4 linked regions of the Arabidopsis thaliana genome follow. The protein of the gene in region 3 interacts with the protein of the main gene of each other region in a pairwise test. Each region holds a gene or a part of one and is shown on either strand. Other genes may lie near its edges.

Region 1 (8,411 bases), on a different chromosome or scaffold from region 3:
ATAAGTTTCTGTGTTGTATGCAGCCAAAGAAAAGAAGAAACTTGTTTACCTCCATCGCGTATTTGCATGCCAAGTCCTCTGTGAGATTCAAAAATAGTGATGTTATCAAAGACAAGACCTTTGAAATCAAACCAGCTCGCACTACCGAGTTTAATGGCTGAGGATTTGGTCCGGATCCAACAGTCTGTAGCGGTTAAGTTGTAAAGTGGACCAGTGTAAGTCTTGGGACAGATTGCATCATCTCCAGTATCGATATGACACCGAGTTATAACAGTGTTGTTGGAATCTTCAATGTCGATTCCATCGTTATTTGGAGTATTGAAGTCCCCAAGGATCGATACATCATGGACTGATGTGTTCTCACATCTCACAATGTGCAAACTGCAATGAGAGTGTGTATATAATCAAATCAGAGATTACTTAGCACAGAAGCCTAAATTCTCAGCTAGAGTTACTTTATCTTCGATCTAAGATAGTGAAACAAAGTCAAATTTGTTCATAGAGTTCTTTGTGAAAAGCAGAAGTTTCAAAACTAACCACCAATACGCAGGCTCTCGTAGTGTGATGTTCCAGATCTCAACGTTTATAGAATCAACGAATCCAACAAGCCTGGGTCTACACTCATCACCCAAGCAAGCTCCGGTTTGGTTCCAGCTCACCATCACGTTCTTCTTCTCGTCGAATCTGACCACGAACTTCGATCCTTGGCCATCAATCGCTCCTCCGCCAGTGATTCCAACATCCGTAGCGTTATTCGCCACCACCACGTACCAATCCGACGAAGTCTCCGCCGGATAATAATCCTCGATTCTCGGTCCACCGAGAAGCACGGCGTTCTCCGTCACATCGAGAATGACGCCAGATCGGAGATGGAGCTTAGCGGTCAAATAGTTGCCGGAAGGGAAAACGACGCGGCAGATGGAAGAAAAAGATGTGTAGTGACGATTGCAGGCGTCAATGGTTGACTGAATCGCAGAAGTATCGTAGTTGATACCATCGCCGGTAGCACCGAAATCGGTAACGGAGAGGGTCAGAGAATCGCCGGGAAGTTGAATTTTTGAATATGACGTGTCTGAACGTGATTGGACCAGAGAAAAGAATAATAGTAACAATAATATGCTTCCCATCATTTTTTTTTAAAGGTCTTAATAATAATCTTATCCTATGTCTATGTGTGTAGACTTTATTGGAATTGATAAACAACTGAAACTAGAATTCCAGATCTCTTCTATGAGGATCGTAGTGTCTTTACCGAATCCTGGATAGTTTGATGCAGAATAATAAGCTATGAGAGAGTTTGTAAAAACAAAAACAATTAATTAGGCACAATAATAGTGAAATAATACTACAAAAACATCAAAAATTTAAGTAAACATATATGAGCAAATTGATTAAGCAAATTGATTAAGCAAAAGAATTAAAAAGTGAAACTTTCTCTCGTGTAGATTTCGTCTAAGGCGGTTAATTTGTTGAATCTTAGGCTGAGGAAGAGATCGATACCATCTAGTGGCGGGATTGATGATACACATCAATCTTTCTATACGGTAGACGCAAACAAGGCCATCACAGCTTCCGGTAACGTGCTTTGCACTCATATTTATGATTGCATCTCTGTTCTTATCGAATGAGTCAATTTAGGGTTTTTTGTTACCTAACCTAAACCATAATTCAAGAGGTGCATTTTCACTTGGTCCAGCTCAAACAATCTAAACATATAGTTGCATTTTGTTTTTGCTTCTTCTTTTTCGTGCAACTCCAATATCCAAAGGATGCCCCTGCTTCTTCTTTCTGTTTTTGTTTATCGATACTGATTTATTTCCCTAAATAGAATTTTTTTATCTCTATTTATTATTAGTAAGATATATATAACGAGATCAAAATGATCATATCCTACTAAATTCTACATTGTCGAAATCTGGTACAAGAATAAGAAACAATCATACCAGTGTTGTCTCTCTGAATCAAATGACTGATACCTTCTTAACAGATATCTATATTTATGATTATATTTATATAGAGAGAAACGAGCTTATACGATGTATATACACATTCATGATCTCTACCGTTTTCCCAACTTACAGCTCCATTTTGACCTGATTTGGGTGCAAATTAGCAGAAGCCACCATTACATTTTCAGAAACTGCCATCAAATTGCTGTTATCATTGCCATGAGCTTGATCCTCTTCTCTTCCCCATACCGGCTGGTTCAAGCCGTCAAAAGGCCATTGTTGTGTTGGTGGTTGTTGCAGTTGCCGGTGATGAAAGGACTGTTCGGTCTCAATGGCTTGCTGAGGCCAAGCAAGCTGCATTGGTGCGGCATTGAAGCTCCCATCCATTAAAGAACCGTTCTGTCAAAGAAAAAAACACAGAGCCAAAACCGGAAAAGATATCAGCAAAGGGATCATTCATAGAGATCTTGATCTAGTCAAAGAAGTCAACTGTTGTTGCTGTGTTATTATTATCCTAAAAGAACAAGGTTTGATGAGAGGGTCCCTGGCTATTTAATGGTGGTACAAGCTGTAAGAAGAAAGAGAGAGGGAGCATTTATTTAGTTTGGTCCAAAACTTTTGATGAGAATCCACAGGTGATCATGAAATTAGATAGGTCACTTTGAAATAACAAGATTTTGGAAGAGACCCACAGAAATTATTGAGGGATGAATTAACTTTTTTTTTAAAAGGTTCATCAAGTAACACATCCGACATAAGTCACAGAAGACACAGAAAGGTTTTACAGAACAAAGGTGGTCCGAGTTTTGACCCACTACTGTTATTTGCATTGGGTGTGTGTGTGTGTTGTGTATTTATTTTTCCCTGAGTTTCCTTCATGAGAGTAGACGTTGTGATCTTCCTATGCCTTACACTAAAATGGTCTAAATTAATGTTTGTATCAATAAATACCCCAAAAGTTTCTCCTTTTGTGATAGAAACTAGAAGCTACTCAAAGAGGTATGGTTAACTTAAATGAGAAACACATGAAATGGTTAAATTTTTCCTAGAGAAGACTAATCAGAATGACCAAATTATTGTTTGAGATTTTGATACTTACTTCTGAAGCCAATATGGTGTCGAGATTGAAGTCGATTCTGGGGTTTACCGCAGCAAGTCTCATTGATAGCATCTGTGGAAACACAAGTCACAGTTTCATGAGATTGCGGCACATAATTCTATTCATTTTCAAATTGTTTTGAGTTGACCCTTTTATTGTGCCCAGGGCTATTGTAAAATATAGGTATAAAGAACAAAAATTGGACCACGGAAAGTCTCACCTCCACTTGACGTTGTAATGACTGGACATGGTTAATGATTTCATCCAGCACCAGCGCGGTACCTTGAATCTGCAGGTCAAAGACTTTCTGATAAGCTCGGATTCATATTAGGTAGATCTGCTTTCACATACCAAAAATTCTTTCTAGACAGCTAACTATTGTTAAGATGATCCAATATTTCAACGAGAAAATACCAAGATTCCAAAATACACAGTGAAAAAAGCAGCAAGAGAATGACGTGCTAATCTAAAGCTATTATAATAAATGGTATCTACTACAATCACAAGTAATCAGTATACCCTAGGGGGGCTAAAGGAACAATCAATCAAGTCCTCACAGCTCACCTATAGAATCCAAATTTTAAACAAACACTGATGTTCCATATCATCATCTCTATCACACCAATAATTGCTGCTAACTTCTAACATCAGGGATGATTAATTAGCTGTCTGGGGGAGTGTCACATCATGTTTCCAACTAATTAGGTATGTGGGACTCAAAGCATATCAATTTTTGTAAAGGATCATTTGCTTTAATCGTCCTTCTAAGAGTCATTTTCTATTTTTCCTTGATAGATACCGAACTTGTTAGAGACGATACTACCCCTTCCTCACCTTCCATAGAAAGATTGCAACTTTTTTCCCACTTATCATCAAAAGATGGACCCCAAAACACACTTTGATCTTGATCTTTCCACCAAAATCTGTCCCCTAAACCCAAAACCTTAATGGCATATTACAGCTAGCACACTTCCTAAGGTCATTCTCGTCATTTATAGACTAATCTTCAAGCTCAACGAACACACTTATGGAAAAAGAATTCGATAAAGCAAGGTCCTATCACTTCCGTGTGACTGAGTTAACCTTAAAGCTAAGTGTGTACCCGTGAGATATTTCTCCCCACACGAAATAAAAAAATAAAGTTGAGATCTCTAAAGGCATTACTACACAATTACCCAACTGGCTACTTTGGCACACCAGGAACCACTTTTCTTAATAAAAAAGCAATTAAGCAATCCACTTTTTAGGAAGAAAAAAAAAAGTAGGTGTGAAGGATTAAGACCCTTAACAAAAAGACTAGATCATCTAATAATAAATTCTTACTTTTGGAGTGAATCAATTAGAGAAATATAATGTCGTTAATCACAAATGAAGACCTAATGATTGATTAACAAATTGATTACACGTCTATATCTAAGAGACAAACCTTATCACAGCCTGGGACCAGTTCCTGTAACAGCTTCATTCGTGCATTTATCTTCTCTCTTCTTGCCTATAATCCAAAAATTAGTGATCAATTAGCGAATTAATCAACTGATTAATACCAAAAAAAAGAAAAATTAGTGAAGGCAGATGCAAGTTACTCGTTCTGCTAAGCTATGGCTATCGGTTGCTTGACCACGACGAGCTCTAACGTGAACATATGGCAGCTTCTCGTTCTCTTCAGAGCTTTTGTTCTTCTTCGTCGAGCTTTTACCCTATAAAAAATCAATCTGATGAAACGAAGGATCAAATGTAAAAAAGTAAAAACATTTGTCTCTCACTCTAACCTTCTTTTCGAAATCTTTCCTCTTCCCATTTCGATTGTTCTGGTTAGGGCAAGGGATTTGATTCTCAATCGCTGAATCAGAAATCAACCGCTGAGATGAATCGGTCTCAGCAGGCTCCGTCTTGACTCTGTCGAGATTAGCACTTGAATTGGAAGGTACAGAGCTCGTCGGAGTCTCCCCGGAGATATTTCCGTTTTGTTGCTCAGTGGCAATCACCGAGAAACGAGCTGCTCGCTCCATGAGAACTGAGTTAGAAGGAAAAGCCAATGTCCCACCGAAAGAGTGAAGCGGCGGAGGAATCTCTCCACCGATCCCTGTCACTGCCGCTTGTTGAGAAGACGAAGAATCAGTGAAATGGAGAAGCTCCACTGCTTGTGTAGGTGGAAGCTCAAGCAAAGCCGTGAACGAACCGCCGGGGTTCTCGGGAGGTAAAGTCGTCACTAGTTGCCGAAATTCGTCACCGAGATGTAGCGATTCAAGGCCTATTGGTTCCCGGCACGGTCCAACACCGCCGGATCTAGCTCCAAATCCTCCAGTCAGATCCATAAACGGAAACTCACTGGAAATCTTCGAAAACAATAACACCAATAATCGAAACCAAATTCAGCAATTTGTGTAATCAAATCTCACGACAACAAAACCCTAATTGAGCCTCCAAAGAGAGCGAGAGAGAGACTTGAGTAGAAGACTTTTGTCAGTAAGCGAGTAAAATGCGGCGAAAAATAGAAAGGAGAGAAGGTGGGCAACAATGGCGGTCTGAAGAAATCCCTCCTTCTTCTATAGCTCAGAGAACTTGGCGAAGAAGGAATAGTTATTCTCTCTTCTTCTTCGTCTTCTTTCTCAAATGTGTGTGGAAGAAAAGCTTTTACACCAGAAGAAGAGTAGGACGAAAGCAACGTTAGCAGTGGAGTGCGTCTGTTAAATAAAGGCCACTGTTAGACAAAAGAAAGAGAAAACCAATTTTGGTTATTGTAGGTACGGTACGGTTCTTTTGTTATATATTTTGCTGGATCCCAATGGATATTACTTGGGCCTTTTGGGCTTTAACCGGTGACTTTTTATCTCTGATTATAAACTTTTTTTATCACTCCTTAATTTTGTAATTAGTAAATTTTTGAAGTATTTTGATACTATAATATAAAAATGATTTGAATAGGGCGTACCAGAAAACGGCACATATTTATTTAATCGAATCGGTAGATTAGATTTATTCTTCAGCAGGACCAGCCTGCTGTCTCTGACCACTTTTCTTTTTTTCTCGGTATAATAATTGGATTTTCGTATAGTATTATTATCAGTAGTTAATGCCATAAATGGTGTTACATCAGGTTTTCTGACTTTCCACGGACTCCGATTCCGGTGTCAAATTATTTTGTTGACCTGTAAATAACCAAGAACCAAAAACACTTTTTAATATGGAAAAATAATTGAGCTCAAAACACCATTTTAGTAATTATCTCAGCCGTTGGATGAAATCTACCAAGCGTAATATTAATTTTTTAAAAATATTTTATTTTTTTTATTTTTTAAAAATATTCAAAATTCATCAAGTATTAAAAACTTTAGAGTATAAAAGGCAAAAATAAAATAAAAATTGAGACGTACTAATAATATTAATTCAAAATATCTTATAAATTTATTAAAAGGAAAAAAAAAAACAATTAATGTTACTTCTTTAAAAGGGTGTTTTGGGGATAGAGAGGAAAATTTGAGGACAAAGATGAACAGATGGGTCCAGTGGAATAACCTGTTTCACACAATGGGCCGAACAGGAAATCCACTTATGCTCTAATAATCTGAGCCCAAATCCCAATTTCCATTTCATTGCAACAAATCATCGTTGCTTGATTATTTTGATTAGCCAATTTCTTCTTCATGTAAGTAAATCTCAAAACTGAAATTTAGTAAAAAGGTGTAGAAGTGGAATATAAATGTGCTAAAATATCGGTTTCACTTTCAGCGATTGGTGATGTAAGGTTTGGTGTAGTAGTAAAGTCTCAATCAAAGAGAGGAAAGGTACAATCTTTTTTTGGCATTTCCAATTTGGCAACGTTACTTACTCTCCCAACGTCCATTACTTCTTTGGTGTCTCAGATATTGATGTGGCCAATTCTTTAACCAACCTAATTCCTACGTACATATGTGTTACTCTTTCACATATATACACTTTATTCTAAATATAAAGATTTTGAAGCTATACGGCTCTTTTCTGTTTTTATTCAATTAGATGTCAAAATGAGTATGAAACATGCAAAGTCTTTATCAATAAGAAACATTCTAATTATGCAAAGTCTTTGCCATTATAAACGCAGTTCAATTTTAGATGATTTATCTTTATAAAATTTGTTCCCGAGCACAGTCTCGAACTCATATGAGACTAAAGTTTTTAATATTCACACATAAAACCTTTATAAAAAATTAAAGAGATATATTTTCTTTTATTGCTGAGAAAGCTGTGAGGATTATCTTCACAATACTTACGGCATCTCCAACACATCTCTATTTTTGTCTCTACACTCTATTTTTGCTTTTATTACACTCCAACTCATCTCTATTCTCACTTCCATTATAGAGATCTCTATTTTTTTCTCTATATATAGAAACAAAAATATGGATCTCTATTTTTTTCCCCTATTTTTCTTTCTAACAAATAGAGATTTCTATTTTTGAAGAATTATTGGAGTAAAAATAGAAATCTCTATTTTCTCTTCTATATTTACAAAAAAAAAATAGAGACAACCATTGCAGATGGTCTTATTAACGTATCACATTGGGATCATGATGGATTTAAAAGGATAGATATGGGCGAGACCACAAAGATTTTTCGGATGTATACGTGAAGCATGAAAAAAAAAAATGTGCGATGAATAAAGAAATATGTTTAGAAAATATTATAGATAATTCGTTTATATATGAGTGGGTCTGGATCCGCGTGTTAATCACGTGACACTGGCCCAAGAAGCCTCTCTTCGTAGTGGAGTGGTGTGGGAATTCCCTTCTTCCCATATTAAAATGTTTCGATGAATAAATGAATAGCTCTCTCTAACCTTCTTCTTTTTGTGTTTTAATGAAAATGTTTTATTTTTCTATGTAGCTTGCATTATTCGACAGCTGTTACAAACCTGACATGCATGGGATCCACACAACAACACACATATCTCTTTATATGAGTTATTCCCATTTCCCAAATTGCTGAGCAAACGACATCCGTAAGCAGAGTTAAGACTATTGAAAAGTGCATAACAATTATGGTTGTCAAAACGTTGTTTGTAAGTTGGTTTAGCTAATAATCATTATAAAGGTAGATTGTCAATGGAAATATAGTTGTAAAAGCATTTAATATCAAACCCCCAAAAGGAAGAAGCAATGTATCACAAACGATTCAATATCTTAGGTGAATTTTGCTAACTTCGACTAATTTTATGTAGAGTACGAATGTCCACAAGCAATTGTCTATGTAATGCAATTGTTCCACGTTATATGAAGCATTGCTCGTTTCTATCGTCAACTATAACATTTTTATTTTCATCAAAAGATTGTTTGGATTATTTAGTCGTATAATATTTTGAAACATATCAAACATCATGAATGCAC
Region 2 (5,883 bases), on a different chromosome or scaffold from region 3:
ATACATGTTAAATCATATTTTTGTAACCTGCAAAAGGATAAATCCACAAATTATTTTAAAAAATGACAAAAACCACAAATGCCATTCAAAAAAATGGCAAATCCATAATTGGTTTCAACCAAAATACGACATTTGTACAAGTTTTATTTGCTCCATTTCAAATCATTCTAACAAATTTGTTATAAAAATATATATTATAGAATTAATTATTAGTTTTTTCTAAAAGCAACAATTATGTTTTACACTCGAAGTATGAAACACATTTGAATCCCCACATACTAATTTCTACAACAATTAATCTATAGTTTTAAATACAATCCAACTACAACCGTAACTAGTCGATCGGGCTTTTAATATTAAGGTATACATTATACATCAATTCCCACCCTCAAATATTATAAGTAAGTAAGTAATAACCAATAATGCTTGTGAAAATTTTAATAATGTCAATTTGCAACATAGCTTTTACTTTTCTTATATATCGGATCATATTTTTAAAATATCGATAGTATGTACAAGTTGCCATTTGTTTTTTATTTTGAGTGTAATCAGTAATGGTCTAATGGATAACATGGGCAATCATTGGGAAATGTTTCTCTAAAGCGGGATTAAATATATGCAAAAATTATTATGCAGATTATTATCGATTTCGGTTTTTTAACATGATCATCGTAATTTAGTATATATAAAAAAAATTGTTCATCGCATATCAATAAAGCACGAAGTCTAGATATACTTTCATGCTTTTAGCTAAAAATAAATTATTATGTGATCTGGTACAAGACTAGTAAAATCACTATTTAAAATGATTGATTCTGAATCATATTAAAAGAGTGATTTTGAAAAAGTTTGTTGCTGGAACAACAGTTTCACTTTCGAGTTTTCTTTAATTCTTTGAATGAATTCACATGAAAAGCAATTCATAATTGTAAAATTTATTTTTAAATGTAGTAAACCCCACCCACTGTTCATAAAAAAAAGAGAGGAAGGTAGTAGAGAATTGGGCAAATTTGCCAAGATAAATATATAAATTCCTATTGAATAACAAAATCAACTAGTGTCTGCATACAATATTATCTATGAATGGCTTAAAAGGAGAGTGTCTTAGATAACTCTTCACTTTCTCCAAAAGTCGCTAATCCTTAAAATGAATCACTTATGTTTTCCTCGATTTTCAGTCGATATAATCACTATATTCTACACGATCTATCAAACAAAACACACAACAAACGATAGACGATAGTGTTAATTTGCCAAATAAACGTCTTTAGCATCATAAATCAAGAACAAATGCAACAATAAACGATAGATTATATGGTTAATTTGCTAAATAACATTCAAGCTTATGCATAAGAGAACGAAGTGTGTTCATTTCTATAATTAAAAAACACAATGCAGGATGTAAAAGAAGAGTCACCAACCCCATAAAATAAGTAATCATGGCTTTTTTTTGTAGAATCAAAGGCACTCAACGGTATCAACGGAAACAGTTGGTGATGGAGATATTAGTGTTGGAATTATGCTTTTTCTACGTGTCTTGCATTAACCATAAACCTATTTTTTATCAATAACTTGACGCGATTTTTTAATTACTTAACTCAATATCTAAAAATTTGACAGTAACGTTATATAGAATTGAAAGGTACTCCATACTAACTACTAATATATAATTAACCATCATTTTGTGATTAAAAAAAATCAATACTCCTCACAAATATACCACCATATTGGAAAAAATATACTTAATCGTCTTTAGTCCTTACAATTCCATATCTTTTGGGCTTCGTATTTATATATCTTATCCAATCTTGATGTTGGGCACTAAAACAAGGCCGAGAAGGCCCAAAGGTATTTTGGCTCCGATTGGGTTGTCAAGAGTAGCTTCAAGTTGAAACAGAGGATTGAAAAATGAAATAAAATACATTCGTAAACTGAAATCAGGAATTAGCATGCATAATAAGAAACACAAAAAAAAGAAATACATTTGGTTTTAAAAAAGAGAGAACTAAAAGAAGAAATCAAGACTTCATTTTACAAACTTTGATCTCACTCTCATAAGTAGATGTGAGGATATAATACATAGCTTTTGAATACATAAACTTTCTCCGGTTTGTTGATGACGAGGACCTTAAAAACTTACCAAGCCAAACCAAACATGGAGATTAGCTACATAGTAAAACTCTATACGACCAACAAAGAAAACTAGGACAGATTCAAACCTAATAAACTCATCTGCAACTTGTTGAAAATTTCAGTTGCACAGAAGATTAATATAAAATAGAAGACTTTAAGAATTGGCCAGTTTACTAATTGCATCCCAATCAATCTCCACCGAAGGAAACTTCCGAAGCCCGAAACTTCCAATCTCTTCAAACTCAGTATCCGAGAAATCCAGGAATGTTTTATCCGACGATGAATATTCCGCCTGCGACTCATCCAACAACGAGGTCTCATCGCTTCTCGGTGACTCATTAGAGAGCTCATTTGTCTCCAAATGCTCTCTTTTAGGCAAGAAAAGCTCTGCTTTTGGCAGGAAAAGCTCTGTTTTATCTGAAACAGAGTAAACAGAGTACTCCTTTGTTTGATCAGAAACAGAGCAAATTTCCTCTGTTTTTCTCAAACTTTTGCAGATAGCTTGAAGCTTGGTATCAACAGAGGAAGGGAGAGGATTCATGTCTTCGTGTATGAGGTTTGGGAAGTTAAGCTTCGCGATATCTCCACGGAGCTGAAAAGCAGCTTGGTCGTAAGCTAAGGCGGCTTTTTCGGCGGTTTCGAATGTCCCGAGCCAGAGACGGGTCCGGTTCTTGGGCAAACGGATCTCAGCGACCCATTTCCCCCAGTGCCTTTGCCTTACGCCTCTGTAGAGATTCTTGGTTTTGGAGGTAGAAGGTGTTAAGTTCTTCATTCTGATACGGTTTGGAGAGAGGTTTGAGATTGTGCTACGTCTATGGTTAAGCTGGTTCTGAATCTGATGAATTTGGTATGGTGTGAGCTGGTTTAGACCGAGAGGCATAGATTTGTTTACACCGAAGCTCGTGTTTGGGACAGGGAAAGAAAGAGAAGCAGTTTCCATGAGAGGATTGAAATAGAGATCTTTGCTGCTTGTGAAGATATAAAGTTTGGATTTTTATAATACAAAGATGAAACCCTTTTGAAAGAAAAGACGACGAACAAAGAAATGGGTGAAATTGATCAAAACGAAACTTCAGGGTCAAGAAAAGAGAAACTCAAATTTTTAAGGTGAACTCGTGCTTCCTTTATTTTTTATATATAAAAAATCTCTCGTTATGTTGCTTGTTCTGAAGCTCTCCGCCTTTTAAAGGCCATTGAATTCGTCTGAATATTTAAGGCAATAATCGTTTTAATCAATCCATGGCCGGAGTAAACCAATAGGAAATTGCCATGTCTACATGTGCTTTGGATCTAGCCGTTTCCGGGGAATATAATATAGGGGCTATATGGGGCAAGTTCTCTATAATATGTGGGTTTTCGGTTGTGAATTTAGACATGTTTTACTTTGAAGTTGAACACGTAATATATGACTCAATGTTGGAGGATAATTTGTTGTACCAATATTCTGTATGATGGAAATGGAGCTTAAAAATCAAATTAATCACAACTTCCACAAGTTGAAAATTTAAAAATTTGTTTAGTGACCTAATCATGTAACTATACTTTTAGATGAATACTCAAGTCTATTTGTAAGATTATATGTTGTTAGAAATTTTCAAAAAATATATATATGATGATAAGGTTGAAGATAAAGTGGTGAAAGTTTAACACACATGGTTGGTTGGGGAGTTATTGTAGCTACATGCTTTCCACATTTAATTTCTTTTTTCGAACTTTTATTTAATAATATATACAGAATATATACCCTGAAAAAAACTAATTAATTGATTAACAATATTATTATTTAGATATAGAATTTTGTAGGAGCTAGAAAATAAAAACAAATGAATTGTTGATTCTAGGATTCGTTGAAAGGCCAATTTGCTTTCCAACCATTTAACGATCAAGTGAAAGGACCAATAACTCTTGGAATATGGCACCTTTTATATTATGAACATTTTACTTTCATTTGGACAAATATATTAAAAGCTAATTGCATGGAAATTCTCTCCGCAGTGCGTTTTCCGTTTCCGAAACATTTCAGAAAACGGAAACTCTTGGAAATTCGATGGAAATTCACAAAAACGCGTTTCCTAAAATTTTATATTTGGAAACACGATGAAATTTTTTATATTTTAGAAACGCAAAAAATCTTATTTTTTTACTTTGGAAACTTAATAATAATAAAAGTTTGGAAAGATAAAGATTTAACTAATTTTGGGAGACTCAAGTTTTAAGATCTTTCTCTCGACGAATCAAATCTCATGTGCTTCATATGATTTTTAATGGAACTAATGAAAATGATGGTCTAAATATTTGATATTACGCTTTTTAATCTTTATTTTTAAGAATTTTACTTTATCTATTTGATATTTATGTTTTAGATTTTTGTTGTTTAAAATATATATATATATATATATATATATGTCTAAGTTTCCAAAACGTTTGCGTTCCTTAATTTTAAAAAAAAATTGTTTTCGGTTTTCGAAACGTTTCGTTTCCGTGTTTCCGTTTCTGTTGCTATGCAACATAGATTAAAAGTACGAGGTAGATAGAAAAAAATAGGAATAGGTTATTGTTGGTTTATACTTTATAATCGTATTACGCCCATGATATGACAGTATATCGAACCGGTAATTGGAAAGTTAATTCCCAAAGAATACGATTATACTAAGATGAAAAGATGATTGTAGAGAGACAAAAAAAGAGCTTTGATGAGCTTTGTGCCCATTGACACAAAGAGAACTTTAGATGGATAAAAAGAACGTTTTATAGAGAGAAAGCTTTGAAAGAACAAAAGGAAAAGCAATTGAACGTTGATTTGTGGTTGATTTCCAATCTCTACATTGATTACCAGTCAATTCCGTGACAAATTTGTTACTAAATTGGCTAAGATATGTGTTCTGGTTTAATGCTTCCGCATAATAGAATAACAATTATAATACTAATAACATCATCCATGTGAGTATTTTTTTCTTCTTCTTTCTTTTTTTTTTGGAATGAAAATGATCCATGCGAATGTTGGTGTGACAAATAAATATGTTATTAAAATATTTACAGATTATGTGATTTATTATGTAATTTAATATGTGGTCCAGTCATAAAATCGATTCGTTTGCTAAACTCCACTAGATTTCTCCTTTGTAAAGTTTCACGTTACATATTGATTCATCATGAATCAATTACTATGGGTTTAGTCCATTTACGCTTCTTGCGGTTGTTCAGTCAACTTTCCTCAAATCAAATTATGGTACTTATAAGAAATCTTTTGGTACCAAAAGAGTAGACAAGTTTGGATGGTATTAGGAGATACAAATACCAAATATTTTCACGCTTCAACTAAACAAAGGCGGGCTAGGAACAGAATAATTGGTATCCTCGATCAAAATAGAGTGTGGGTTGATAATGAAGAAGGTATCGAGAAAGTCGCCGTGAGCTACTTTGATAACTTCTTTTCTTCCTCGGTTTCGAGAGATCCCACTAATGTCCTTAAAGATGTCCATGTTGCGGTTACTCCAAGGATGAACGAGGCTCTAACCAAGGAGGTTACAGAAGAGGAGGTGAAAAGAGCTTTATTCTCATTAAACCCGGGAAAAGCACCAGGATCAGACGGGATGATGGCACTTTTTTACCAACGTTTTTGGGACATTATAAAAGGTGATCTCACCAATTTGGTGAAGAATTTCTTTAGATCTGGTATCTTTGATGGAAAGCTAAATGAGACCAACATTTGCCTTATCCCAAAAGGGGATAGGCCTAGGGAAATGTCTG
Region 3 (7,494 bases):
AGATCTCAGATGCTGATTACGCCTCACGCATAGATCTGATTTCAAAAGTTTTCGGGATCGATGCAGCTGAACGCTACTTTGAAGGTCTGGATATAGATTCAAAGACAGCTGAAACCTATACTTCTCTCCTTCATGCTTATGCTGCCTCCAAACAAACCGAACGAGCCGAGGCCTTGTTCAAGAGAATCATTGAGAGTGATAGTCTCACTTTTGGTGCCATCACATACAACGAGATGATGACTTTATACATGTCAGTTGGGCAAGTTGAGAAAGTACCTGAGGTTATTGAAGTGTTAAAGCAGAAAAAGGTTTCTCCGGATATTTTTACTTATAATTTGTGGCTAAGTTCATGTGCTGCAACCTTTAATATAGATGAGCTTAGAAAGATTCTTGAAGAGATGAGGCATGATGCTAGTTCCAATGAGGGTTGGGTTCGGTATATCGATCTTACTAGCATCTACATAAACAGTAGTAGAGTAACTAATGCAGAGTCTACTTTGCCTGTCGAAGCTGAGAAATCTATTTCGCAAAGAGAATGGATCACATATGACTTCCTTATGATTCTGCACACTGGTCTAGGGAACAAGGTTATGATAGATCAGATTTGGAAGTCTTTGAGAAACACCAACCAGATATTGAGTAGTAGAAGCTACATTTGTGTTCTTTCATCTTATCTAATGCTTGGTCATTTGAGAGAAGCCGAGGAGATTATCCATCAGTGGAAAGAGTCTAAAACGACAGAGTTTGATGCTTCTGCTTGCTTGAGGATCTTGAATGCTTTTCGAGATGTTGGTTTAGAGGGAATAGCCAGCGGCTTTCACTTGATCTTGGTGCATAACAAATGCAGCTTGGAGAATGAAGGATCATCTTAAGATGGAGAAATAAGTTGGTGAAAATTTTATGCTCTTAGCAAGAAGAATCAGATCAAGCTCATTAATCATGGTGGATGAATAAAATAGAGGTTTCTTCTCTTCACTGTGATTCTTAAATATCTTTTTGTTCTTTACGTGGGAGGTCATGAGACACATAGATTTCCTCACCAGAAGATTTTGCTGCATAGTCGGAAGATGTGTTTCCTTAGGCAAGGTCCATAACATTTCATATGTAACGTCAAATTTCAAAAAGTCCAAATTTTACAACAAAAAATAGATTGTGGAGGTTTTTCTTGTATGGTTGTTGTTTAATAATAAGTCTACAAAATTTGTTTTTGGTATAGAAAAAATGATAGTTTGAAAGGTTAGAGCAAAATCCTAGCATGTAAGAAGCCAAAGAAGGTTCCATTATTAACACTCGAGTTTATTACATGAACATGATACACAAACATGTTTAGACCCATGAGAGAAACAACAGAAGCAAATAACATTACAATAGTACAAAACTACAAGGCCTTTGAAGAGCTTAAGAGCCAGAGAGATTAGAAAAAACAAAAAAGATGACAAGTTATGGGATTGATAGCAACAGAAGAGTAATAATGAGACAAGAGAGAGTGGGGACATAGATTTTCACCTAATGAAAGTGGGAAGATTTCAATTTCCACAAGTCACAACCACTCCAAAAATTTCAATATTTGCCTTTTTGATTTTTCTTCATCCACACCCACCACCACCAGACCTTCACAGAGATATTATTATTACTCACGAGTAAAGATAATTATTAACGATCAATGAGCACCAAGACTTTGCTTTTTTCCCTTCTTTCACTTTTCTTCCACTCCAAGCACAGAAGAAAGTGACTTTTTTTTGGTTCTTTTTTGAGAGAGCATGCCAAATCCAAAAGTAAACCACTATTGATCCAGCTAGATGAACAGTGGATACGGTCCCACTAGGGTCACCAGGCGTGTTCTAATTGTTTCAAACCCACGTTAATGAATTTGAGAGAATCTTCTTCATCAGTCCTTTACCTCATTGATTATCTTTTGTCCCATGTCTTCTCTTTAACCAACCAAACATGCCTTATCAATAGGACAAAAGGGGTTGTAGGTTTTTCACCAATGGTTATTCAAACCCTTTGATGAGTTTAAGCTTTGCTTCAGCAACTTGAGGTAATCAATGGCTTCGTCTAGTAGTAAAAGAGCTTCTTTTCCCTTTGCCCCTGGAACTACACTCTCCAGGATTCTCAGAGCGGTGTGAATCTTGTCTTTTCTTGACTGCTCGTCGCTCAAACCAGAACCCGTTTCTTGTTTGCTTGAAATGTTTGATTCAGGAAGGTTTTCATCTGATAAGCCTTTGACTTTAGTGGTGCCCACAAGGGATGGTGATGAGTCTCTGTACGAATGGTCCAGTAGTTTCTGTCTTTTAAGAAGTGGACCATCAACAGTGCTTTCAGTTTCATCCAGCTCTTCTGTTGTTATGTTGCACGCTTGTTGTTCAACTGTGAATGGAGAGTGACCAGTGCTCATTACTTCATCATCACTTTCCCAATCATCATTATCGTCATCATCAGAATACAGTAACGCGTTGATTTCCTCAGTGTCTTCGTGCATTTCCGAGTCTTCTTCGCCATTTTCATGATCTTCATGTTGCAATATCTTTTCTTGAATGGCATGATCTTTACTAAACCCTTTCTCTGGGTGTAGGGCACCGAGAATGTTCCCTCGCTCTGCATCCATAGAAGAAGGAAACCGCAGAGGAAATCCACATTGTAACAAACGAGTCTGCTCTCCCGACTGATCGAATACTATAAATCTTTTCCGAGAAGACTTGAGTGCCCCCTCTGGAGCAGCACCGTTGCTAGATCGCCCATTCAAACATGAAACTTGTTTTCCACAAGACTGCTGATCATATCTAGACAATAAGGCTTGGAACGGTGGCTGCAAATAGCGAAACTGATGCTCAGCTGCATAAACTTTACCGAGTTCCGGAAAAGGAATTCCAGGACGGAAATACTCAGTCGCCTTGTCCTGGACACAAGCTTGAGGATTTAAGCCTAATGGCAACCATTTCTGCTGTTTGGTATCAAGAGGCATGCTCTTGCAGTTTAAGCCAAGGGAACTTTACAGGAATACAATACTGCACGAAAAAGGAAAGGGACTAATCATTGGACATGGCTATGAATGAGACAACTACTAGTAGCCCAACTCAAGAAAGCAATAATCCATAAAGAGTCAAAGATTCAGTTAGCATACCGATTGTGGAAGCTGTTGCTCAAATGTGTGGAACGCAACACTTGTTGATTCTTTCTTGAAACAATCGTATAAGAAAGTAGAGACAAAAAGAAAAAAGGTGCCAGCTCCAAAAATACAAACACAAGCTCACAAACCAACTACGTCACTGGTTTGAGTATATGTCTAAAGTATTCAGCCTGCAAGTGGAACAGAGACAAAAGTGTTAGATAAGAAACACAGGACTATGAGATGAAATGTGACAAAAAAAAGAGTATAATATCATTTTTGCTGCAACAAACCTGACAATTATCCATCGGTTGGAAGCAAGCAATAACTCTCACTACAATTGTTGGTCTGCTAGAGTCTCCGTTGTTCTCGTACTTGAATGTTCGAAATCTTGTTTGACCAGCTGATTGACTTACCATAATAATAACTTTTCCAAACTCTCGAATGTAAAACTAGTGTTTCTCCACAGAACAGAGTAAGTCACCAAAAGACAGATGACTTGAAGAAGAAAAAGAGAAGCTTTAAGGGTTTAGATGATCCTATACTGGTCACAGTGGAAAACGTAGAAACGTTGGGATCCCATTATTAAAGAGTTTAGAAAAGGCTGAGGATTTAGAAGAAGATTGAAGATGGGGTTTTTCAAGGCAGAGAAAAAGTTTACAGAATAACTCGGCAATACAGATTCAAGCTCACAACTTTACGGTACACATCAACAGACCTTGTGAACCAACTCATGCTGTTTTTCTCATTCACTGCTTTGTTGTGATCCAGAGAAAGAGAGAAGAATTCTGTTACAAAACAGAGAATCATCTCATCAAATTCCAGTAATAACAAACCAAAGAAACCAAACATTCACAACAATTGAAAGGATAGAGAAACCATAAACAGCAGAAGAAGATAAGTACATGTTCTGCAGCATTGAACAAGTATAATTTATTTTAGCAAAATCAAGAACTAAAAGCTTGGATTTTGCAAGCCAAGCTACGAAAATAGAAGAATTTATCCGTTTTGGTAACGATTTAAACACATTTGCATCAAATTCGCTGATAATTCAACTTTTTCGAGGAATAAAAAAACAGAGAGAGCACAGCGACAAACAATGGTTAAGTGAATCCAAGAAGCGTACATGGAGGAAAACAGAGGAAGATCTATGCGTGGAGATCCAGAGAGAGTGGAGAGGTTTATGAGACGAATTCACGAAAGCTTGAACGGATAAGAAACGAGAAAGCGGAATATTATTTCGAAAATATATTTTTAGCAAATTCACTAAAAGTGGGCGTGAAGACTGAAGTGTGTGACATTGCTTTATACATCTTCTTATTTCTTGTGACGATTTTACCCTTTTCCACCACTTTATTTACCGTCAATAATGGAGACCAGGAAAAGAAAAAGAAAAAGAAAAAAACAGTTCACATCAACCAAGTTTATTTCAGATTTTTTTTTTTTTTTTTTCATTTTTCTTTCTCTTCCAAAATTTAGATAACCAAGCTGGAACATCAACTCTAAAAACTCATTTGAGCAAAACATAACACCATCTCCATTGCCCAACTTTATTTTCTTCTATTTTAATATTAACTCAATTTAAGAAGAAATATAATTAATTTTACTCTATTATATATTTTAGAATAGAGTTACTACTAAAATAGAAGAAAAATGTAGAGATTACTCTATAAATAGAACAAAAGACAACTTACTCTATATTTGTTTTCTATTTTAGAGAAAACTTTATTTTAGAGTCATACAATGAAATAAAATACCTTTAAAATAGAGTCAATTTTAAAATAGAAGAAAAAATAGAATTGAACATTGGATATAGTCTTATTATTTTGATTTTTTACTATTCTTTTTAGTAGAAATTAAAACTAAAATACACTTTAGTATGAGTTTCAATTCATATTTCTAACACATATTTTTTATAAAGAAAAATTAAATTTATTTAATTCAGTTCAATTTAAATTTATTTTAGAAAATACATATAGTATAATTTAAAATGCATATAATTTTGAATTGAATGGTAGAAATAATCTAAATATTTTTATTAGTTTGGATGGTTGCAATGGGACGAGGAGTAGAGGAGGTGGAACGTAGAATATATGTAATTATGATGTATAATGGCAAACCCTCGCGATCCATAATTTCAAGCCATAAATTAATAATTATGTAATATCATAAACGTGAGAATTTCTTAGTAGTTCGTTAAAGTAAAGCCATTATATGTTCGTCTTCTTTTTAACTTTTTTTTTTTTTTTGGGGGGGGGGGCAACGTTTTTTCTTTATAATTATGAGCCAAATAGTGGAAGTGAGTTTTTAACCATTTTGGTGGTTTCTATAATCATTATTTTTAAAGTATTAACCTTTCTTTTTAGGTGTGTGGGTGGGATGATTTGGAACATTTATGTCTTTACGATGACGCGATACAAATTGAACTATATACATTGTAACATATTTGACTAGTTTAGTAGCTAGCTAAATAATACAATATTTTTGACGTGGCTTATAAAACACCAATTTAGCCCACTCGTTTTTTCATATATAATTACGAACTATTGTACATGATATTTTAATAAGTGATTGAGGTGAAAAACGTTGGAGCATCCACCAAATTCCATGATCATAGGAGAAAGAAAAGAAAACGAATAAAGAGGTAAGCAAGTTTGGTGAAAGAAGAAAAAAAAAGAAAAAGAGAAAGAGACGCAAGTGAATGATTAAAAAAATGCACAGGGAATTAAGTGCTTAATTGCCTTGATGACTTCTTTTTCTTTTTGGAACATTTTTTCTAAAGATTTTAATTTCTCGTTGAATCTTTTTTCTTTATTTTGATGTGATATGAGATTTGAGAATAGTCGTTGCCGTGTGAGATCAGTGGACCCAAATGCCTACTATGTACTTCAAAATTCTTAAAATTTTAGGAAACAATTATTATGTGTTCTATTCGGAAGCAAATCATTGAAACATGTTAAAAGAAAGACAGTTAGATAGAAATTTCAGTGTGAAAAAACAAAACATAGAAATTTCAGTTCACATAATTGAGACTGGGCTTTGGTTAGATGAGTGGAGTGGCCATGCAAAATGGAGCCTAAACATGGCCTTGGACTTATTTTGGGCCATGTCTCAGCTTTGGATAACTCTTATACAATCTCATAAAACAAACACCAAATTGCCACCAGCTTCAAACTCAAGTAAAAAAACTTTAGAAAGATTTTATTTCTCTTTTATAGAGATAATATGATCAAAGTCAATAAAAGAAAAACATTATTGTTAATCTTATTTTCTTATAATTTTTTGCATAATTTCTAATTTAGATTTTTACAAACAAACAAAAGAAATTGTAATTTAGAAGCGATATTTCATATTTTCTGTCAACCAAGAAAATAGAACATAGTACCCAAAGAAAAAAAGGAATATACCAAATGAAGGTCCCCAGCAAAAGTATATCCCCCAAGTCCAAGAGACTTGGACCGTCCGAAAAAGTCCCTTTGCTTCAATCACTATCAGTTTTCGCATTTACTAAAAAAAATATTTGTGCAAATAAATAATTTATTTTTATACAAAAATCTCTAGTAAATATTACCTTAATCGCTATATAATTATTTTCAAAATATTTTAAACGTATATGAAATGTATGAAGAAATATGGGAATCTCAAACATTTATTAACCTAACTACTTGAAAAAAATTAATCAAAATTTAACGTCTTTTAACAGACCACGAACTTGTTCCAAGGTAAGGAACAAGATCATCGTGAACGGTCCTTGCCTCGTCGCCGTCGGAACAAGCCCTTTGTACAAAGCCATTGGTCCTTCCTCTGCCACCATCTTCACCGCACAATCCAACGGTCCACCGTAAATCTCCTTATCCGCATTCATCATCCTCGTCTTCACAACGTCGATGGGATTCGACGCCACCGCCGCGACGATCCCCGCCGCAAAACTCGCCGCTACATGCGTTCCTATCCCTCCCGGCGTTCCACGGCCACCAGCTACCAAGATTTCTTTGACGTGATCATACGTAGCGAGCTGAGAAGCTGTCACGATCATGGCACGGTTCACGGTTAGCCATGAGCCACGCCATAAACTTGAAACGCCTTCTTGCCTTGCGATCCTGTCGATCGCGTCCACGACGCTCTTGTAGTTTCTGCGACGGTTTAACGGCAAGCTTCCGTCGGCTTGCATTCTCACCATCGCCACGTCAGCAGGATTCCCGACGACTGATCCAACGGCTCCTGCGATGAGTCCAGCTGTGATCTTGGTTACCAATGGGAAGTTACCTGTTTGGAATTATCGTTTACGTTTAATTTATTTGATCTTTTGTGTAATAATATGGAAAAAATTCGAACCAAACAAACCGAAACTGTTTAAGATCGAAACCGAACCAGCATTTGTTTAT
Region 4 (9,736 bases), on a different chromosome or scaffold from region 3:
GTCGATCGGTTCATCGGATACAGAGCGATCGCGAAGAGTGCCTTGAGCGAGTCTTTGATCGATCGAGGATGCGAATCTGGATATCTAATGATGTGAATGAGGGAGAAGATGATATCGCGCTTAGATCCGATGATAGGTCGGTAAGACTCTTCGGCTATCAAAAGGCTATAAATCGTAGCGGCGGAGGATTGAACCGCGGCGGGGGAAGTGGTGGTGTCGTGATGACGAAGCGCGTGAGAAAGCGCGTCGAGTAAGCCGCGTGAAGACATTAGGGGTTCGCGAGAGGTGATTGAGAGGTTGAGGAGAGTCGCGGCGGCGTTTTCCTGAGAAGAGTGTGACGACGAGTAAAGAGTCTCGGCGAGGTACGGAATAGCTCCGGCGTCGGCGATGATTAGACGGCTATCAGGATCTTGTTTGGAGATGAGTCTAAGCTCAGCTAAAGCAGCGGCTCTGGTTTGCTCAGAGACAGAGCTAAGCCTGGAGACGATTGTTGACATGGTTCTACGCTTTGCTGTTTCCATTGAGAAGATTTTGATGAAATAGAGAACAATTCTCTGTTTTTTATCTTTATCTTCAAACCCTAATTATCGTTTATTGGATGATGGAGTTACGACTTTTTGTTGAACAAGCCACTTGTATTAATTGTATTAAAGAGTAAACAAGAATGAAAGAGTCATTGATAATTCATCTAAGTGGGAATTAAAGGTCTTAACTTTTTTCTTTCGTCAACAAAAAGGTACAACTTTGTCTTTTTATACCAGAATTGTACTTCTTTATCCAGGATTCAGGAACATGTGTCAGATCTTTATTCCATAAGAAAAACTTGATCGTACGAAAAAAATTCATGCTCTTGTTCTTGTACTTGTAGAGATATTTACGTTTCTGTTTAAAATTGAAAATAATTGAAATTAAATTTCAGTCATCCTCTCCAAAGCATTCGTGAAATTAAATTTCAGTCATCCTCTTGTACTGTCGAAGAGATTCAACATTCATTTTTTTCGTGGTACGTTAATTTCATAGTAGCATAAAACTATAATTAAAAGAAGAATGTCGAAGGAAGATCCTATCTTTTCTCTAGTACAACTTTAAAGGAAATAGGTGAAATTACGACAGACAATGAAACTTGGCCTTTTAGTTATACAAAGTTTCATTCCATTCAGAAATTGGAGAAGTGGTTCCGAGATGACTGAACAATCTGCAAATCCGTCGTCGTTTGACAAGAGGTTTCATCACTCATCAGTGTCCTATTCACATTGATAATTCCCGATATCAAATTCATATTTTAGCATTATTATACGTCTATGAAATGTATATATGCATAAAAATGTGTCTTACTCTCGTGGGCGTGACAACCAAAGGGAGCTAAGAGCTCTGAGCCGTCCATAGTACTCTCCGATGACTAGGAAACACCGTGCAGCTTGTCGGACGGTCAAGATCCGCCTCAGCTGGTGAACGGTCTGCTGCCTCAAGTTATCAGCCTTCATTTAGATTAATAATAGAAAGAAAAAGATTACAGTTAGTAATCACATCTTTTGACATTTTAAGATTATTTCAATATTTCTTTTGGTAATATTATTAAAAACTAATAATTATAATTGCATACCTACTTACTACCTTGGTGGGCTAATGGGTATTACAAAAGTCAATACATATCAATAACAATCAATTTGATCATAATGTTTGAAAACAAGAAATTTTTTTAAAATATTTTTGTTGAGTTCAAAACAAAACATTGAAAGAGATGGAGAATACTTTTAACATATTCTCTTTGTCTTTTTTTCAGCTATATTATATATAAAAGGTAAAAACAAGTTGGTGAAAGAAATTTGGCTCTTGGAATAATTAAATCAAAGACCAAAACAACATATAATTATTATAGAACATCAAATGTTGCTTTCACGTATTGTCTGTTTCTGGATTATTTGTTTTTTTTTCAATTAGATAATTTAGCCAGCACATACGTTTGTTCATATATGTACGCAAAATATATGCACGTATTTCCGCATTTTTAAACATTTGTACATCTAGTATATATATAAAACGTTAAAATTTACCCAATATATTTCTAAAAAATATATTCGAATTCCTCTCTAACTATAAACCAAAATACGTTGCAAATTTTGTTTAGTCAAAAACTATCTACAGTTATATAGTAGGTCAAATTTTGTGTATATTTCACACGGTGTTTTTTTCTCTCGTTTGCATTCGTTTGTAATTATTGTTCGAGCAAATGAAGTAAAAAAAAAAAAAAGATAGGTGAGAAAATGGAACCTGGCGGATAAAGCCTTCGAGATTAGAGATCTTTCCGAGAGCGACAGCCATTTGTTGCATTCCGTCAATGACTGGAGATGCGGCGAGAGTATCGATGAGAGATTGCTGAAGTTGTTCGAGGCCTTGCGAGAGAGCCTCCTCTGCTTGTTGCGACGAGTGTTGTAGGCTATATATTCCCATCAGTTGTTGCTCCGTCAATAGATCCATTTGCGACACCAATATCTAAGATCACATCCCTTTCTTTAGTTAATCATGATTCCACAACTTTTTTATCACACGCAAATAATTAAACCGAAGAATACTCATTTCTGTTTACATTTTGCAGCAATGTTTCAGATTTGTTGATGTAATTTACTAACGTGAATATCATTTTGTTTTTCAAACGCAAAACCTAAAACTTACGTTTGTAATCATGGGGTAAAGTAAGGAAGAACAAGTCGAACCTTGATTAGGTCGGATGGACGGAAACCAGCCATCCAAATAAAACAACGTTCGGCTGGGGACATCCATGTCCCAATGATGAGGTGAAAAACATCGGCTTTCGCTGCCACGGCTTTTAATCGGAATATCTCATCAAAATGAGCAATGTAACCGTCAACGATCAACCTTAAATCATTGTCAGATAAATGAGCCTGAAGACCGGTTCGAATCTCCGACATATGCCGGTTATCATCCTCTAGCCATCTCCCATATTCCATGTCAAATATTGCAGCTCCTACGTACATTCGATTTTCAACATTTTGTTAATAATAGTTTAACCATTATTGTACTTATTTTAATACAATAATACATTGCAATTGGTGTTTTAGGTTTCAAGTACCGGAAGTGATGTTAGGTCCTGGTGGTCCACAACCACCCATGAACAGCCCCTACCATCGACATAAACAATATATTAATTTCAACAAACAGACATTATTAATAACCAATGAACAATTGAGAAACTTAGCAAATGACAGGTTTTGACAAATTTAAAAAAAGATTTAGCAGAATATATAGGATTATAGGAATATAAATGATTCAATTTCAACCTGAGAACGAGCTCGCTGAAGTTCTTGCTCCAATTGGGAAAGCTTTATCCTACTTGATTCTAGCTGTTGCACATACGCCTGCTCAAACCATATGTATATGCATTTGTTATTTTCATACTAGTATCATTACATATAGAATAACAAGAAATGCGGAACTTATACGTTCATAAATGAATTATAGAAGACTGGTAAATGGTAGATAAAGAAATAAATGCTCATGTAACAGCGGTTTCCAAGAAGAATAAAAGACACCACTGCGTATGTTTTACTAGTAGCAATAGCATTATTGTAATTCTATGCAACAAATTATCATTTGGAAAAAGTAGCAAAGAATATATAAATAGGTCAAAAAAACAAAAACAAATGATAATAATTTGAGGTGAAAAGTCAGGCAATTATATGGTCATACCTTTTTCCTAAGACGGCTTTTGCGAGCAGCTTCTCTATTTTGGGCCAAACGTCTCAACGTCTGCATAATCCAGATTTAAGAACATTTAAACAAGAAGTTAACGAATTAATTCAGGTAAAAAAGGTTACTAAAAAGTAAGTACATATATAGGAATGGATATGTCTCCTCGGGGGAGTCAAATAAAATGTATAGGAAATGATGATGATGAAAGTTAAAGTACCTTAGCATCAAGCTGTTTGCCTGAAGTTGTAGCCTTCCTCTGCAATGTCAGAGAACAGAGATGAAAATAGAAATTCATTCAGTGGAAAGAAAGTAAACATAAATTAAATTGTGTGAGTGAAGTCGACTCATGTGATAAATATTTAAATACCATTTACACACAATTAAAAAAACAGCATTATTAAATACTTTTTTTTAATGTAATATTAAATCTAAGCAATATGAACTCATTTAGGGAATATATGTGTTGTTAAAGTAAACATAGAAATGAGGATATGTAATCATGTAGTAAAAAGTAAATTATAAAAACAATAATAACACCTAGGAAGATTCTTCTGCTTTATTCCGCTTTTTGGGGATTTCATTTAATAATTTGTATTTTAAATTTGTCTGTTTTCATTATTTTATCAACGATTCGAGAGGTCAAAATTCTGAATTTTCTCTGATCCGTTTCCTTTTTGGGATCTGTGTATGTTTTTGTTTTATTGGAAAGATTTGTTAGGACATAGACATATATGAAAAAGCATGTGCATGCATATCTATCAAATGACAAGGAGAGAGAGAGATAGGCTAATGATATACATACCATGTACATGCACCAAATTAAGCATGCATGTTTCATGATGACTCCAAGTACGTACCATGCATATATCTCTTTCTAAAATTAAATTTTAAAAAGTGATGATGATGATGATGATGATGATGATGATGATGAGTACCTTATCTTCCGAAGGTTTAGGAGGAGCTAAAGTTCGAGAAGTGGAAGGAAGTCCAGATGTTGAACTTGAGTTTGCCATGTTATTATGATGAGGTTGAAGCATGAGATGATGTTTGCTACTCATAGGAGACTCCGGTTGTTGACTTTCAGCTTTGCCGGAGAAATTAGCCGATCCTGAATCGCTGCTCTCTCCTCCTGACTTGGAACTCTCCTGCAATACATATTCAACATAATCATACTCATCATCATTAACGTATAAGATAATTAATAAAAAGTCAGAAAAGGGATAATCAATGTAACTAAGGAGGAATTGACCTTAGCGTATATAATTTGACAAACGGGGTACTATAAGTTTATGTAATATAAAATAAAGTCAAGAGAAAGGAATGGAGTAATTAACTACTCTAAAATCGCTATCAGCTTTTGAGTTGAAAGAAGCAAAAATAAGAGATAGTAAGAGGAACAAGAAAGCTGAAACATGTATATAAAAGTGAGGGTAAAATGAAAATATAAGTTTTAAGTTTAAATAGGAATGCCGAAAAAGGAGAAAAAAACAAGAGGAAAGGGTCAAAGAAGAAGAAAGGGTACAGTAGGAAGAGTTTGGTGAGTTCTGATTGGCCACGAAGGGAACATCTCCAGAGTCGTAGCTCCTCCTCCTCCTCCTAATAAAGCTGCAATTTTACCCATCATTACATTTATCAGATATGTAATGTTCATATGTAATCATGTAGTATGCTAGCTACTTATTAAATGTGTGCATGCATGTATATGTGTTTTTGATGTAATTTAAGTAGTACTACAATATATTCTACTTAGAACTAACTACATCATTTATCACGTGGAATCTATATATAACATGACACATTTTACTAATAGTATAATTATGAATATTTTGATATAGAGGAAGTTAGGGAGTTGGTAAAAGATATTTTCTTCTTTTCTTATTTTCTAAATAAAGAGAAGAGAAATAGAAAAACAAGTCACGCCATCCAAGGCTCTCTTTTGCCTCCGTATCATCACCTAAACCTATCTAAAGACTTGTTCAGACTACTCTCAGCTTTTTATTTTGTTTTTTCCAGTTTCAGTTTTTTGCTCAGAATTTTAAAAACTTTATTGGAGTTTGTTAAGGAAAGCTCACGTCATGAAGATTTGAGAGAGAGAGGGGGGCTTACGTGGCTTGGCTTCCTCGTTCCTATACTTGACACCTTGCAGAACAATTGCTTCTTCTAGCTCTCCAAAATCGAAACTGGACGATCCATCTTGGTTACTGTTTCATTTATTAATAGTATTGTTTAATTAGTACAAAGAGAATATTCATCATGTGTTACTACAACTATACAATCAGAAACCAAGAAAAATTGGAGACCAAAAGGAACAACAATTAAATTAAAATATAAATACTTGATTAGAGGGTCGCATTTTGAGTTAGAAGATTAATAAAGACGGTCGCATATAATGAAAGTTTACACAAAAGCTAAAGCACATATAAAACCTATTTCGGATGATCCATAACACATTTTTTAGTTTCTGTTTTACCTATAGATTTCCGTTGACCATTTCATATCTCATAAATGAAACCGTATAACATATCATAATACTACTAAGAAAATGACAAATTGAGAATAAACAAAGAAAACCCATATAAAATTCAATTAGAGCTCAATATTAAGATATGTAATATGAATAAAGTTGAGCTTTATGTATATGTAAAGAAGAAAAGACGAAGGAAGATTTGTTAATTACATGAAACCAGAAGATGGATGATTGTTGTTGAGACCATGAATAAGTGAATAAGGAAGATGATGATTGTGGTTATGGTTTGTAGCTTCGCTCATTCTATGGTTCGCCATCTCTACTCAAGAAAACAGCTTCAATTGATGATATCTCTTCTTGATTAGTCTCTTTTCTGCAAAACACATTAAATCTTGAAATGATGAAAAAGATGATAATCACTATTGAGAGAAGCTCGAGTTAAGAAACACAAGAGAGAACTAGCTAGGGAGAGGGAGAGGGAGAGAGATTGCAAAGTCTTATAATTAATTCTTGATTAGTTGATCAAATGATTGGAATTTGAAAAGAAAAAGCTAGTTGATGATATGAACATGAAAGTAAGATATCTATGTGTTTACCTTTTGTGATGTTTTGCTTTTGGTGTTTGAGAACAAAGAGGAGAGAGAGAAAGTAGAATGGAAGCTTTCTCGTCAAAGGCTTTTTTATGGCTGAACAGAAAAACAAAAGAGGGTCCAATCTTTTCTCTTTCCGAGATACATATACAAAATTATGTGGGCGTGTATATATTTGTAGTTGGATAGAGAAATGATAATAAAGTATTAGTAATTGACTAATGTATAGTATCATTACTCTTTCTCTCTTTATTACTATTCTCTCTATACTTGTATGTGAAGAAACCTTTGTGATTCATCATCACTCTCTCCTTTTCACCACCTTTCTCTATCTATTTCCATAGTAAACACAAATTCCACTTGCTAAATTTCAAAATTTTATTGAAGAAAACAATAAAGAAATATTGATAATTTTTCATGGTAAATCAGACGAAGATCTTGTCCTTCCTAGACTTTGTCTCCAGGCTATATTTATGTGTTGCATTTTTTTTTGTTTTCCAAATAATAATATTGGGTTCAAAAAAGTTGTACAGAAAATTGAAAATTTAGTTGACTAACTTTATAGCTGTCAAGGGTGAAGCTAGTACTTGGCAATTGATCAGATGGAGTGGACGATCTCTATTCATACACAAACCTGAAATGTAGAAGTTAAACAGAAAATCAAAAGTCTAAGAGTGCTTAATTAAAAGAGCTTTATCCTTGTTAAGAAAAAGAATGGAGCTTTATCTTTGGTAAAGAATAAAAGAGCCTTATCCAATATGTAGAAGATAAATAAGATGATTGGATATAAGATTAATTGGACCGATCACAAGAAAATGGAGGTAGATTATTAAGAAAACTATCGACTTCTCTAGGTAGAAAAAAATTGAGCGAGAAGAAAATTAAATGAGAGTTTGTAATTTAGTCCATAAAATAAAAATAGAAGAAAGAGAGCAGAAAAAGAGGAGGAACCCACTAGAATCACTGACTCCTACTCCACAATCTCTCTCTCTCTCTTTGTAACCGCCTGTTTGTGCTTATTGGCTCTTTTTCATCAAATCTCTTTTTGGGCTTATTCACGTACACATTTTTTCAATAATCTATCATCTTTTCTGTAGTATTATTCATCGTATTCACGTACATGCCTATATCAAAATACGTATCTGTATATGTGAAAGTAAAGTGGTGAAATTTGCATAAAAGAATTGGGTTTCACTCTATCATCTTAGCAGCATGGATCATGCATGAAGTTATTTTTTCTAAGTAGTCTGTGTGTTAATCTAAAACCAAAAGAAAACTAACAGGAAAATTCTAGAATTATATCAAGAATCTTTGAATGGGCATGATATATACAGCATATACTTTATATTTTTGCCAAAAAAAAAATGATATATATATCTTTAGTCTAGTAAACAAATATATACTATAACTAAATGATCGAATACAACTCCCCAGCTATAGTTTAAGCTAAATTATATATATTATTTGGATGATCTAATGAGTTTGTTATTGGAATAGTACTAGAGATAGTGATGAAATAATGTTAATACACATAATCATAAATTCATAATCAAAGACAATGCATTAATGTGGGATAAGGAATGTTTGTTGATTTGTGTATGTATATTAAAATAGCAGAATCGAGTGAGTTTCTATTTCTAAACTACAACTCTTTTTGTTAAATGACCTTTGAGACAGAGAGAGGGATAAGAATAGTATGAATATAATACGTCTACTTATATGTAACACACTATACATAATTACAGATTTTTTTTTAGTTTCATCTTCAGTCTATAACCTTTTGAAAGCCGAGAGTGATAATATGTGAAACAGTTTCTGAAAGTTTTTTCTTCTTCTCAAAAATTAACAGCTTTTAGGCTTTAAGTTTCAAATTTGGATATAATAGAACTAGAGCAACTTTCTCTAGTCGGTTAACCTAACATACTTAAGTATTGAATAATTAACTATTTTGCCTCTACCAGTTCAACCAAAAAAGCCTTAGAATAATGACAATTATGTAGACCAATAAGATAAAATTAAACGGCCTTCTTGCATTAATCGTAAATAAATATAGAAAATAGCATTAAAATTATCAATAATTATTGTAAACATCTCAATCGAGTGTTATTTAAATTGATTAGTTTGGTATTATCCTATAATTTTGTTGATCGGTCAACATCCACTCCCTGTCATCACCTAAATCCTAATGCCACATTTCAGATTCCTTTCCTTTATTAGAAATTGTTATATGCCTCCTTTGATTCGTATAGCTGTTTTAGTCAATGCAGCTCTCTTGCAAATCCACATTTGTCATGGCTTTATTCCTTTAGTTTGTGTCATAATGACCCCCTCCGAATTGAGAATTTATTTTTCACGGCTCTTTAGATGCTTTTTTTGGGTTCGGTAGAAGTATATAACTCACGGTTAAGCTTTTATAGAATCTCAATATTAATTTGTCCATCAAGGCATCAAAATAATGTTTAGATTACCATCTCAGCCCAATACCGGCCATAATCTTATATGGAGGATGCATATTATTATGTAGACATCAATGATCAATCACTTTGGGACAACTACTCAAGCTCGTTTTCTAACGAATTGGGATTTTTGAATTACTTACTCAAAATAGTGTAGTCGGTTTTGGTCTAGCATGATCTAAAAAGTCCAACAAGCCGAGAGGCCCAAAACCCTAATATTCAAAACTTCGTGGCCTAAATGTTTCATCCTGTGTAATTTTCTTCAACAACCATTATCTTGGGTGAAAATTGTCAAATTTGCATATTTTCCATTATTGTCATTGACTTTCTGATTCGGTAACAGTCATATGATGTAAAAATGGGCCACATCCTTATTTGGTTTGCTTCAGGCCCATATTCGTTTGGGCTGTTAGATTGTAGCAATGGTACAAAGATCTGCAATTGATGTAATTTAACCTTGGTTAATGGTGTAATTTTATTTTATTTTGTTGGGGTCAAACTGAAAGCCTCAA

The links.
Region 1: the proteins of AT5G09460 (region 3) and AT3G57800 interact in a two-hybrid assay, tested with the Arabidopsis thaliana proteins (one large-scale study listed by BioGRID).
Region 2: the proteins of AT5G09460 (region 3) and AT2G22200 interact in a two-hybrid assay, tested with the Arabidopsis thaliana proteins (one large-scale study listed by BioGRID).
Region 4: the proteins of AT5G09460 (region 3) and TGA9 interact in a two-hybrid assay, tested with the Arabidopsis thaliana proteins (one large-scale study listed by BioGRID).

What each region holds. Positions count from the first base shown.
Region 1 is NC_003074.8:21,405,959-21,414,369, forward strand, and holds AT3G57800 (basic helix-loop-helix (bHLH) DNA-binding superfamily protein), read right to left. Parts: upstream 5,655-8,411; 5' UTR 5,364-5,654; coding exon 4,818-5,363; intron 4,746-4,817; coding exon 4,632-4,745; intron 4,541-4,631; coding exon 4,475-4,540; intron 3,979-4,474; coding exon 3,883-3,978; intron 3,613-3,882; coding exon 3,568-3,612; intron 3,338-3,567; coding exon 3,269-3,337; intron 3,121-3,268; coding exon 3,049-3,120; intron 2,638-3,048; exon of another isoform or gene 2,443-2,637; intron 2,349-2,442; coding exon 2,076-2,348; 3' UTR 1,831-2,075; downstream 1-1,830. Other genes in the region: AT3G57790 (Pectin lyase-like superfamily protein), read right to left, coding at 50-381, 538-1,130.
Region 2 is NC_003071.7:9,441,135-9,447,017, forward strand, and holds AT2G22200 (Integrase-type DNA-binding superfamily protein), read right to left. Parts: upstream 3,295-5,883; 5' UTR 3,074-3,294; coding exon 2,288-3,073; 3' UTR 1,939-2,287; downstream 1-1,938.
Region 3 is NC_003076.8:2,942,453-2,949,946, forward strand, and holds AT5G09460 (transcription factor bHLH143), read right to left. Parts: upstream 4,388-7,494; 5' UTR 4,236-4,387; intron 3,898-4,235; 5' UTR 3,403-3,897; intron 3,301-3,402; 5' UTR 3,125-3,300; intron 3,009-3,124; 5' UTR 2,966-3,008; coding exon 1,985-2,965; 3' UTR 1,286-1,984; downstream 1-1,285. Other genes in the region: AT5G09450 (Tetratricopeptide repeat (TPR)-like superfamily protein), read left to right, coding at 1-872; DIC3 (dicarboxylate carrier 3), read right to left, coding at 6,789-7,375.
Region 4 is NC_003070.9:2,620,957-2,630,692, forward strand, and holds TGA9 (bZIP transcription factor family protein), read right to left. Parts: upstream 7,639-9,736; 5' UTR 7,327-7,638; intron 6,973-7,326; exon of another isoform or gene 6,865-6,972; 5' UTR 6,775-6,864; intron 6,766-6,774; exon of another isoform or gene 6,552-6,765; 5' UTR 6,496-6,551; coding exon 6,389-6,495; intron 5,913-6,388; coding exon 5,818-5,912; intron 5,317-5,817; coding exon 5,234-5,316; exon of another isoform or gene 4,857-5,233; coding exon 4,647-4,856; intron 3,968-4,646; coding exon 3,929-3,967; intron 3,769-3,928; coding exon 3,709-3,768; intron 3,378-3,708; coding exon 3,300-3,377; intron 3,141-3,299; coding exon 3,092-3,140; intron 2,987-3,091; coding exon 2,715-2,986; intron 2,494-2,714; coding exon 2,272-2,493; intron 1,479-2,271; coding exon 1,336-1,478; intron 1,245-1,335; coding exon 1,157-1,244; 3' UTR 904-1,156; downstream 1-903. Other genes in the region: AT1G08315 (ARM repeat superfamily protein), read right to left, coding at 1-521. UniProt on the Arabidopsis thaliana protein: Together with TGA10, basic leucine-zipper transcription factor required for anther development, probably via the activation of SPL expression in anthers and via the regulation of genes with functions in early and middle tapetal development.